Arabidopsis thaliana: one gene and its partners. The protein of the gene in region 1 interacts with the protein of each later gene in a pairwise test. Each region holds a gene or a part of one and is shown in the gene's direction. Other genes may lie near its edges.

Region 1 (4,669 bases):
CAAAATGAATACGTAAGAACTTTTCCTAAATTATGTCTTTTGCACAATACTGTAAGTCTGTAACTATGGTACTAAACATTATAATATCGAATTGGAAACATTTACATTTGAGAATTTTAGTGTTTGTTGGCAACGAAGCATGTGAGATCACAGAGAAGCAATACTCATCTCTGAGCTGTTCAAACAGTTTTACATGTCAGCACCCAAATATAGTCACTATATTCAAAAACAAAATTATTTACTTGCATTCAATGCTAGCCTTTTTTATTCGGTCCACAACAAATTATAAATATTTGTATATAAGAAAAATCAGAGACCTGATTTTGTAATGCGTGGCTTGTCAATTTCAAGCAACACAGAAAAAAGCTAACTAAGCAAAAAACAAAAAAAAATAACAAGTGGCTGGTTGATAGAATGTATCTTTCATCAGTACATAACACTGTTTTTTTGTCAACGTAAAACAGATTTTTATAACTTTTGTTTGCCCTCAACTTTTTTCATTACATTTTCTGGAATATCGCATGGTTGAATAATTAAAAGTTAAAAATGATTTTTATGAAGCACGGCATTATACTATATAGTCAGTCCCAACGAAAATGACTTTACATAAAGCTGTCAATTTTTTCTCCAACGGTCAGATAATTGTTTCGTTGAATAGTCAGTTTTTTTTTTACTATTTTACTATTGGGCTTTATTGGGCTCTTACAATTTTATCGATTTTTGTTTACCGTCCAGAAAGTGGACCCTGTGGGAAGAGGAAAAGAAAAAAAAAGGGTCAGGTTTTTTGTCTTTATACGAGAGCACATCGGTACGTTCCAGAACAACCCTCTCTAGTCTCCTCCATCATTATCTTTATTTAATAGTAACCCTAGTACAAATTACCAAACTATTCAACATTAACATAATTATTCAACATTCACCATCATGAATAATAACTAGTTGAGAAAAACGTAACTAGACTAGTTTGATCTGTCAACATAAAAAGAGAAAAAAGAATTTCGTGACTAGTAAAGTTTAAGACCATTCACAAATGATCATTGAAATTATTAGTTCTAAACTCTTAGTTTGGTTATCTATTTGGTTTTGATTCGTATCTATTTGGTTATTCGGTTTTTTGGTTTTAAAGTTTAGTATTCATTCGACTATTTTGAAATTTTGGTTCGTTTTTTTTTTTTTTTTTGAAATTTAATATCCATTCGATTATTTTGCTTTTAATATTTTTAAATATTTCAATTATTTTTTGATATTTTTTGAATATTGTTACTATTTAATATATATTTTTAAATATTTTTAATTACTAAGTATAGAAATAACTAATATTTTTGAAAATAAAATTATATTTTGGATATTTTAGATCATCTAAAATATTTTAGTTAGGTACTAATTCATTTTTGGTTATTTTGATTATAAAATTTAATATCTATTCAACAATTTTTAAATTGTTGATTCAATTCGGTTCTGTTTTTTTTTTTCATTTAGGTTTAGTACATTTGGTTCAGTTTATTTGACTCTCAGTTTATTTGCCTAAGCCTTGAAATTAGGTGTTAACTATTGGTTATTCTAGTTGAAATTTGAAATAAAGAAAAAACTATACGTTATACTATTTTATTTTCTTAGCAATAACTAAAAATAAATGTTTGGAAACGTTAGGCAATTTTATTATATTCTATCGTTGTTCTCTATAAATGAAGTCTCGACCACACACTTGGTAGCTACACACGAGAAAGAAAAAGCTCACAACTTTAACCTTTCTGGAGAGAGAAGAACAAAAGAGGGAGAGGGAGAGAAATGGAAGGCAAAGAAGAAGATGTACGAGTGGGAGCTAACAAGTTCCCGGAGAGGCAACCCATCGGTACATCGGCTCAGTCCACCGACAAGGACTACAAAGAGCCACCTCCTGCGCCACTGTTCGAGCCCGGCGAGCTCAGCTCATGGTCTTTCTACAGAGCCGGAATAGCTGAGTTTATCGCTACTTTCTTGTTTCTCTACATCACTGTTTTGACTGTAATGGGAGTTAAGAGAGCACCAAACATGTGTGCTTCTGTTGGAATCCAAGGTATCGCTTGGGCTTTTGGTGGCATGATCTTTGCTCTTGTCTACTGTACTGCTGGAATTTCAGGTAACCTTCTCTCGATTTTCCCATTTTTCTGTAATCTCTGTTTTGGTGGGTTCTCTGTTTTGGTTCTGCTTTATTTGCTCTGTTTTGTTTCTGAAAACCATTATGTGAGTCCTCTGTTTTTGTTCATGCTCTGTTTGACCTAGAAAATGTAAAGGAACCAAAAACAGTTATAAAGCAGGAAACTTTGGGTTCTTTTGATGCTTGGGCTTATCTAGATCTGTATGTTACACCAATTTTACTGTTGATTTCTCAGATAAAGCTCACATCTTTGTGTAACATGTGTTTGTGTTTGTGTGTTTTTAGGTGGACACATCAACCCTGCTGTAACATTCGGTCTGTTCTTGGCTCGGAAGTTATCTCTGACCAGAGCAGTGTTCTACATGATTATGCAATGTCTTGGAGCCATCTGTGGTGCCGGAGTCGTCAAAGGTTTCCAGCCAACGCCGTACCAGACTCTCGGTGGTGGTGCTAACACCGTTGCTCATGGCTACACCAAAGGTTCTGGCCTTGGTGCTGAAATCATCGGAACATTCGTTCTCGTCTACACTGTCTTCTCCGCCACCGACGCCAAGAGAAGCGCCCGTGACTCACACGTCCCGGTATGGACCCCTCTCTTAGTTCCGGTTTGCTGATTTTATTGCTTTAATTAGACTACTAACCGATCGAATTTCCCCGGTTTTATTGGTTTAACAGTTTATGACTAATAATTGGTCACTCTCTATTGTAGATTTTGGCGCCGCTCCCAATCGGATTTGCAGTGTTCTTGGTACACTTGGCAACAATACCGATCACCGGGACCGGAATCAACCCAGCTAGAAGTCTTGGAGCCGCAATTATCTACAACAAGGACCACTCTTGGGATGACCATGTGAGTAAACAACTCTAATGAAAAGGACAACTCAAAACGTATTATGATGTTTTCTAATATATTTGAATTTGTAAAATTGTGGTGGTTGTTGCAGTGGATTTTCTGGGTTGGACCATTCATTGGAGCAGCTCTAGCAGCACTATATCACCAGATTGTCATCAGAGCGATTCCTTTCAAGAGCAAGAGTTAGAGACACACAGAAAGATTCCACGGTCCAGAATTTGTTCTTTAGTAGTTTCTTTGCTTATCTATCTAATGTAGCTTGTGTTTTGCAATGTAATGAGCCTTTCAAGAATATGTATTTGGGATTTCTAATCAGCTTTTGTCTATGTAAAAACTATGTGTTTCTTTTTTCTTCCTATACTCGTCTCAGATGCTTTATGGCAAAGGGTCTCTGAAGTCTAAGGTGATTAGTGCTCCGGTTATTGATGTTTTGAATAGTTTGTTCGACGAATATAAAATAAACATAGTCAACCCTCATTCTGTATCAACATCAAGTTCTCGGGTTGGTTTTGAGAGACATGATTATGAAGATGATCATGACTTCGTGAATGTGGGGGTTGAAGGATTGGCCTCTGTTTATGACAAGATGGTGAATGAAGAGCTTGACTATTGTGTACTTGCAAGAAAGTGTTGAAAACACAAGGGCCAATACATTGGAAACAGAATATGATGTGTTTCATACTAGAAGCTCAGTAGTCTTAAGCTTCCGGTTTTATTTGTACTAGCTAGAGATATTCTAGCTATGCAAGTTTCTTCTGTAGCTTCTGATTCTTGTTTTAGCACCAGTGGTCGGATCTTAGAGCCACAGAAAAGTTGCTTAACACATTATATGATTGAGGTCTTGTTGTGTACTGAACAATAGATGATTTAAATAATTTTTGTGATTTTTTTTTATTTTAGTTTCCTAAATTTTAGTAACAAAATCGATTTATAGATTTGATAATAAGTTTGTTAAAACATTTAATGCCAATGGCATTGGGTTGTAAATAAGTTCAAACTCCAGGATTTATTTCATAAAAGTGTTGCAAAAATATATAAGTAGATTCTGTACCGTTTGTAATATGGGTTAGTTTTTGATATTTTTTCTCCGTTATTATTTTGTTTGTTTTCGATATTATTTGTTTTTTTTTACAAATAATTTTGTTTTTTTTATTGCATCATTCTATTATAACCCGATTGACAATAAATAACCAAATTTTTCTTTATCGGTTAAAAAACTTTAAATGATTTATTATTTGTTTATATTTTAGATTGTGCATATATTTCTTTGATTCAGTATTATGTGTTTTAAAAAATTTGAATCATAATATATGCAGAAAAAACAAGAAATTTATTAACCATATATAATTTATAATAATTCAAATAATATAAGTACATAAAATCAAATAAAAGTGAAATGAGAATTATGTATTTATGTTTATTAGGTAGAGAGGTTTTAGAAAATTAGCCCAAACATTTTATATTAGCATTAAATCATCATATTTAATTTTTTATCTACAAAAATTGTAAAGAATATACCATATATAAAAAATTTAGATATAGTAATTATTTTTTATAAATTAAATTCGTTTTTGGGTTTTGTCATAATATAGGGAAATATTCGATTGACGATTTCTAAATCAAATTGTATAAAACCCTGACCCGAATAAAAAGAGGAAATATATATTTTAAAAATGTTA
Region 2 (3,951 bases), on another chromosome or scaffold:
CAGAAGTCTGATTTCGCAGGTTAAACGCAATCTCATCAATTCCGACTTTAGTTCCCACACTACAGAACAATGGTTCATAGTTCCAACTACGCAATCTTATCTTCCAAGATTCCACTTCCTGAAAACAAGATCATTACTCTAATCAAACCCTGAAATCGAGTCTAAACTATAAAGCAGCAAGTGTTCTGAACTAGTAGTGAACTAATGAGCTATGAAATTCCAGGATATGGTTCTAATCAATCCCCTGAAATAGAGTACAAAGGATCAAAGTGGTCTAAACTAGTCGTGAACTACGCAATGTCTTTCTAGCAAAAACAGTGGTGCATAGTTCCAACTACACAATCTTATCTTCTAAGATTCCAAGTCCTGTAAACAAGATCATTGCTCTACTTAAACCCCTGAAATGGAGAGTATAAACTAGTAGTGAACTATGCAATTTACTTCCTACCAAAACCTAGTTGAGTCAATATGATTCATCATCCTTACCTCTTGAGTGACGAGTTCACATTTGTTCAAAGCAACTGTGATTCGAATTCCAATAGATTCAGCTTCCACCAAGAACCTAGTAAGTGTAAATGGATCAATCTTAGGTTGATCAAGAGAAAACAGAATCACTAAGTGATCAACATTCGCAACCGGTGGATCCAAAACCTCCGAGACTCGATCAAACACATTGATAATCTTAGCTCTCCGATCAACCCAATCAACTTTATCAACGAGAACTTTATCACCAACAAGAACAGTCCTACCTATCTTCTTCAGTAACTTTCTCACCACACAAAGCAACTCAACGCCAATCTTATCATCCTCTCCATTATCACTCTCAGGTACATCTTGAACAATGACGCGCATGTAGTCAGCTAGAGCGGTGGCGATTGTACCGATGGCTTGAAGCTCAACGAGGTTAGGTTTTTCGTCTAACGGGAGAACCGGAGCTAAGAAGGATCTGAGAATAGTCTTGTTCGGGTGGGGATTTTTAGTGACATTAGGGTTCTCTTGTCGTATCGCTGAGAGAAAATAAAAGCTGCGGCGGATTCGGAGACCAGTTCCAAATCCGCCGTGATAGATCGTTGTACGACGGAGGATGGAGGTGAGAGCGGCGGCGGAAGAAAATGTCTGCATAGGTAAAATCTAGAAGGTTCTAAGAAATGGCTTGTCTTCCAAGATATTAGTGTTGACATTGATTACAGAGAGAGAGGGAGAGAGATCTTCGCATTAAATTTGTAATTGCTGAATATATGATGTTTACTCTTGCGCTGGGCAAAATATTCGTTAGATCCGATTTGATCCGTTATTCGGTTGAATTCGATTCGAAAAATCTGGATGTCCGTCGTTTTACAAGGCAAATCAAACACTGAAAAATAATATCTTCTTGCTTTGTTTTAAATGTTGATTTAAGGGAATGTTTTGTGTTTATCAAAAAAAAAAAGGGGAATGTTTTGATTGGTGGAGTGTTGCTTTGAGAAAGAATGAAAGAATAATAAGCAGAGGGAGTCAAAGCCTCAAAGGATTCGGAATAGTTTGACTTAAGTTTTTACACAGTAACAGACCAGAACAAACCGGTTGACACTCTTAAAAAATAAAATAAGAAAAGTAGTAGTAGTACACTTGTATTGCTATCTTTACGCGGTATTGAATATTCAACAAAGAATTTAGCTAAATACATTTCGTTATCATCAACTCAGTGTGAGGTCTTTCTTCATTTGGTTTCAAGAGAAAGTTTTTTTCCTTTTTCTAATTTACGTTTTGAGATGGGTTGGTGGAGGAAGAAGAAGAAGCCTAAATCCGAGATAGCTTCCGAAAGAGGAGCGAAGCTGTTAAAAGATCTGATCGAATGCTGCGATGGCAAATCCAATCCCATCAAATTCTTTTCTGCTGATGAGATCCGCAAAGCCACCAACAATTTCGGCGTGTCTAATCTTGTTTCCGAATTATCTCATGATTTTGACTACAAATGGTATTCAGGCAAGAACGAGAACCATGACATGATACTTGTCAGGAAAGCTTTTTCCCAGTCCGTCTACTACAAAGATACATTTTTCCGCGACATAGCAGTTTCATCAATGGTGAGTGGTCACAAAAACTTCCTGAAATTGATTGGATATTGTCTTGAGTTTGAAGAGCCAGTCATGGTTTATCATGGTGTCAAGAAACATTATCATTTAGAATCAAGTGAACAGCCGTGGAAAAGGAGAATGAAGATAGCAGAGGATATCGCTACTGCTTTAGCTTACCTTCACACCGCCTTCCCAAGGCCCTTCGTATATAGGTGTTTGTCTCTTACGAATATATTATTGGATGAAGATGGTGTCGCGAAGCTGATGGATTTCTCTTTCTGCGTCTCAATACCAGAAGGAGAAACATTTGTCCAGGTTGACTATATAGCGGGAACAGTTGATTACTTGAAGCCTAATTACTTGAAGCATGGTGTAGTCTCAGAGGAAACGGATGTCTTTGCCGTTGGACATTCCATGCAAATGCTTCTAATGGGGGAAAAAATATTTGATAGGATTATGAGAAGACCATTTCCTACATCAAAATTTATGGAAGAGCCAAAAATGGATGAGATTGCAGATCCAGAAATGGGCGAAATTTCAGAAGAAGAGCTTTGTCAAATGAAAGCTTTCCTATTGCTCTCACTGAGATGCACCGGTCATGTTGGGGAAGTTCCAACTATGGTGGAAGTGGCTAAAGAACTAAAGAGTATTCAAAGATGTCTTCACAATGACACTTTTTCTCCTTCAGTTGAAACCCAATTCGACTCTCATCAAGACATTTCTTCCTCGGTAATCCTCTCAAACCAAACTAAAGACACTAGGGCATTGCTAAGATGTATTGCCTGCCACGTATTTGACGAAATGTTTCAATGGGTTATGATGAATTGGTTTCGTTTTTTCAGAAGAAATCGAAGAATATGCTGAAAATAACTTCGGTTCTTGTTTTTTTATTCAGACATTATCAATCGCAAAGCTTTAGTTTCTTTACCTTTGTCAGATCTTGTTGGGAAAAATGACCAAAGAGATTAAGATGGCACCGAGACAACTAGAAAGGCAAGCATATATAAGTATTTTTGTGTATTTGTGAAGAGAACAGAACAAGAGTAGTTAACTTTGTAACTCTTTTATTGCTTACTTCAGATGATTACAAATGCCAAGCACTTCTAACAAATGTACACAAAACTTCTATTTCTTTTTATGTGACTTTTGCCTATCAAAGCTTGATTCATTTTCTTTCTTTCTAAACCTAAATCGAATCAATCTTTGAACGGTTGTGCAAAGGATAGACAATTAATAATTCGAATAGCGTTGTAATCTTCAATTGTATAATGGTCTTCCTCTTCTTTCTTCATTCATGTAATCGCTTTGTTCTCCTTTTGGAACTACTCATTTTAGTCCTCTTCATTGCCTCCCTCCATAGTGAACTGATTGTTTGATTATATTTTAAATAATATATTCTAGTTAGATTTATAAACTGTCTAAACACGAAGAAAAATAGTTGTATACCTTTTTTTTTTGTGTCAAACTAAAAAATAGTTGTATTACCTTTATTCAAGATTTCCAAAACATCCGAACGAAAAACAAAAAGATTTTATCCAAAGCCTGAGGTGACTCACGGCCATGTAACATATGTGGTTTACTCTAATTAACAAATGGATCAAATGGGGTTTTATACGTTAAAGGCTAATCAAAATTAAAATATGAACCGTCAAAAATGGCTAGCTACCACATAACTTGTCAACATCGCGCGGACAAATGATTATTACAAAGAAAACGATTTTTAAAAAGTGAAACGATCGCTTTCAGGTCGCCGCTTTTAGATTCAGAATTTCATAAATAAGTAGGCTATAGATTAAATAAGAGATTAACAAGCCTTCTTTTTCATTATGGTGGGTGGTTTAAGTCAAACTTCACGAAATGTTTGCTTTGTCTTACTTTTCATTAATAATTGGAT
Region 3 (3,764 bases), on another chromosome or scaffold:
GTTTGGATCAATTTAACCCTTTAAGTTAGAGCCTAGTACACTAACTAAAACTGATGCTGAGTAAAAGACACTAAAAAATCATTTTACGTTTTACTCAAACTAGTTTTGATGAATCTTACAAGAACAAATTCAATCGAGAACATCCAAACAATACTATATACCTAAAGGATTGAACACTTAAAAAGTTTTATGAACAAGAACAAGTTACATAAGTAGCCTCGGCTTCTTTATTTTTCAACGATAATTGCTATAATCTATCATAGATAAGTGGAAGCATCCTCTGCTTTCGGTTAGAAGCAAGGCTTTTACCCGTAGCAGCGGATTGGGTCGTTGCAGCCTTTTTCCGTTGATTGCTTAAGACCAAACCTCCCTCCTTTAGACAAGTATTGCTGGTGATGTTCCTCAGCTCTATAAAATTTCTTAGCCGGTAAGATCTCTGTCACAACCTTCCTGTCAACTTGTTGCTGGTGCCGCTCCAGTGACTCGCGTGCTAGTTTCTCTTGCTCCGGGTTGTAGAAATATATCCCTGAACGGTATTGGGTTCCCACATCATTTCCCTGATCAGATAAGGATGTACTCATTAAAACAGAGAAACAAATTCGAACATAATGCACGACAAGCAGATAAACTACCAAATAAATAGTGATTCTGCATAAGAGCTGGTTAAGTGCTCTCTAAGAAACTACCAAAATACACATAAGGATGGTTCAGTGACCAAAGATGACAAGAACGATAGCCAAATTCACATCCTTATCAAAGAGAAGATGTATGAGTCTCTCTGTTCAGTTTCAAACATAAAACCTAAATTTTGTACCAACAGAACATGAAATGAATCCAAAGTATTACATCATCCAAACCCTAGATTTCAATCTATTTAGAGCTCAATATTTCAAGCAAGCCCTAGAAACCCTAGAAATCTTCCTCAATCACCAAAATCAAAACTTAAAACTCACAAAATCAGACATTCTAAAGAGCAAAACTTTCGTTACCTGCCGATTCAAAGTGGTGGGATCATGCTTAGACCAGAACAAATCAAGCAGCGACTGGTAACTACACTCTTTTGGATCATATTGAACACGAACAATCTCGGCATGATTCGTGGTACCTGAACAAACATCTTTGTAAGAAGGATCGTGAGTGATCCCTTGAGAATAACCAACCTCTGTTTGAGTCACTCCTGGAACTCTCTGGTACGCTAATTCCACGCTCCAGAAACAACCGGCGCCGAATTGAGTAAACTGGTTTCCCGGCGCCGGAGCTTCGTCGTCGATTACTTGTGCGATTGGAGAAGGATCCATGTTGGTTTGTCTACTTGATCCTATACCTAGCTTGTTAAGTATGTTCATGGAGAAATTTTGTAGAGAGAGCGAAACAGAGAAACAGAGGAAAGTGGTGAAGAGGAAACGTCGGCTGATTCTGCGGAACATTTTGTACCAAATTCTGACAGGTATAAAATTCGCGTTTGCGTTTACGTTTTGAATAACGATAAAAATAATTTTAGAAACCAGTTTTGGTTGACATTTCATTCAAGCAGTTCAAATTGACAATCTTTAAAATCTTTTTTTTTTTTTTTTTTTTAATCTTTAAAATCTTAAAACTAAGATTAGTTAGTTTCAAGCATGATCAAATCATATGTTTATAAAATGTCACAGAAATAGAAGAAGAAAACAAAGAATCTAAAGAAATGGTTGTTTTTGTCACTCTCAAATGGAAAAATGAGTGATTAGATTGAACGATTTGACAAAGTCCTTATTTCGATCCAAATGTACCAAAACCATAGGCTCTAAATTCGCAATTCAATCCGGATTCTTTTTTCTTCTAAGAAATAAAAAACTGTGACTAAAATGTAACAAAGAAACTGATTAAGCTCAAAAACCATCAACATCCTAAAAACGTAATTTCTATAGAGTTTTTGGAACACACCTATCAAAACCAAAAATACTTATCAAAATGTATAGATCCGCGAGCTGGAACCGAGTGCCAGAAGACTACTCATCCGCACCGCCTAAGGGATTGTGGATGGGCTCGGTGATCGGTCCCCTCGACGAGAACGAACTACCTTCCTACAATAATCCACCAGAGGAGATGGTTAAGAAGGAGAAGTCACGTGCCAAATTCGCAGAAAACGCCATTCACATCATACCATTTGTTCTCCTTGCATGCGCTCTCGTACTTTGGCTCTTCTCAAATCCAGGTATATACAATTAGTGAGCCAAAAACATGCTTGTGTTTGATCAAACCATGCCCGGTTTTAAAGTGAAAGAAAAAACATGCATGTTGTTAACCACGAACTCATCCGCAATAATCCAACATGATCAAATTGGATTGCAAATGGTAGAGAGATCATGTCTGCATTTGGCGGTTGTGAAGTTGGGAAATATTTTATGTAACTGTTACATGTTGATACTTTATTCTTTGTGGCACTTATAACATCGATCCAAATTTTGAAGATGTGGATGTTGGGATGAGAGAAGAATCTATTGCGGCTAAGATTGAAGGATTGACGATCGAAGGAGACATCGACAATGATAGCGATGGAACTCAGACCGGTTTCTTGGGTGCCACCTTAGAACTCGGAGATCCTGACAAACCAAACCTCACTGATAGAACCAGACGAGCTTCTAGGAAATTGATCAAAGGATTTTACTAGTTAATCAACACCATTTTTTTAATTTTCTCCCAATGAATGTTGATTTTACTCAATAAACTTCACCAAAACTAAGATTTTTTTTGTTTTGTTTTTGGTTGATAAAGAAGCAGCTAAATATAAATCCAAATATATCTATATTCTTATTTAATCTAATCTGGGAAGAAATAAAAATGATACATAATCCGATTGGCAAAACTTTTGAATATGGAGCTATATATTCAAATAAAACTCAACACCAAAAAAAAGAAGCAATATACCTATATCATGCTTAAATAAACACACAAAAAATGAGATTTCATTTCACATGAATAACGCCATGACCAGTCAAGTCAGAAGCTCCAGTAGCTTGTGGAGGCAAACCGATATGAAGATCCAAACCGTCTTTATTTGTCATATTAGAAGCTTCACTCGGTTGAGACAGAGGCAAACCAATCGGTATATGTCTTGGAACAGGTATACCAGAAGGATGAACAAACCTAACCGGTACTTGAGGGTTGGCATAGTACATTGGATAATTTGGATGGTACATAATAGGTGGAAAGTTGTAGTAAGGTGGTATGGGTTGGTAGATTGGCATATACTCCATTGATAAATTCTGAAACCTGTTCGAAATCTCGGTTTGAGTATGACCTTGTACTACCGGTTGTTGAATTCCGGTTATTGGTTGTTTAGGTGGAGTCTTTGTTGAAGCATCTTGAGAGTTCCTCTCTTTCTCCTTCTGTTTAATGAAAAAACAATTAAACCCTAAATTAAAAAATAGCCCTAGACAAATCAATTGACTCAATGGATTACTTGAGAAACAAGGTAAATAAGTACCTGATCTTCGAGAGAGATGTCAAAGAGACTAGCACGTCTTTTTCTCTTGTCGTTAACGTTTAACCTAATAAAATATTTCTGAGCATGACTTGCGACTTGTGTTGGTGTTCTTGTCGACACGAAACTCTTTGCAATGCCTCTCCAATCTCCTTTTCCGAGTTTGTTTAAACCGATTAAGAAATTACGATGTTCTTCTTCCGTCCATGGCTTCCCTGAATTTGATTTATTCTTATTAATTTCATTGAATTTAGATTATCAAATTGATGAGATTAGAAGATTACGTACCCTTTTTCTTCTC

Evidence for each region.
Region 2: the proteins of PIP1;4 (region 1) and AT1G67470 interact in a protein complementation assay, tested with the Arabidopsis thaliana proteins (one large-scale study listed by BioGRID).
Region 3: the proteins of PIP1;4 (region 1) and AT5G61630 interact in a protein complementation assay, tested with the Arabidopsis thaliana proteins (one large-scale study listed by BioGRID).

The regions. Positions count from the first base shown.
Region 1 is NC_003075.7:184,651-189,319, reverse strand, and holds PIP1;4 (plasma membrane intrinsic protein 1;4), read left to right. Parts: upstream 1-1,639; 5' UTR 1,640-1,788; coding exon 1,789-2,119; intron 2,120-2,422; coding exon 2,423-2,718; coding exon of another isoform or gene 2,719-2,751; exon of another isoform or gene 2,752-2,846; coding exon 2,847-2,987; intron 2,988-3,081; coding exon 3,082-3,177; 3' UTR 3,178-4,035; downstream 4,036-4,669. UniProt on the Arabidopsis thaliana protein: Aquaporins facilitate the transport of water and small neutral solutes across cell membranes.
Region 2 is NC_003070.9:25,270,496-25,274,446, forward strand, and holds AT1G67470 (Protein kinase superfamily protein), read left to right. Parts: upstream 1-1,626; 5' UTR 1,627-1,751; coding exon 1,752-2,921; 3' UTR 2,922-3,365; downstream 3,366-3,951. Other genes in the region: AT1G67460 (Minichromosome maintenance (MCM2/3/5) family protein), read right to left, coding at 1-118, 487-1,122.
Region 3 is NC_003076.8:24,772,689-24,776,452, reverse strand, and holds AT5G61630 (uncharacterized protein), read left to right. Parts: upstream 1-1,874; 5' UTR 1,875-1,950; coding exon 1,951-2,194; intron 2,195-2,450; coding exon 2,451-2,650; 3' UTR 2,651-2,945; downstream 2,946-3,764. Other genes in the region: PMSR1 (peptidemethionine sulfoxide reductase 1), read right to left, coding at 306-557, 990-1,427; AT5G61620 (myb-like transcription factor family protein), read right to left, coding at 2,946-3,368, 3,467-3,678, 3,752-3,764.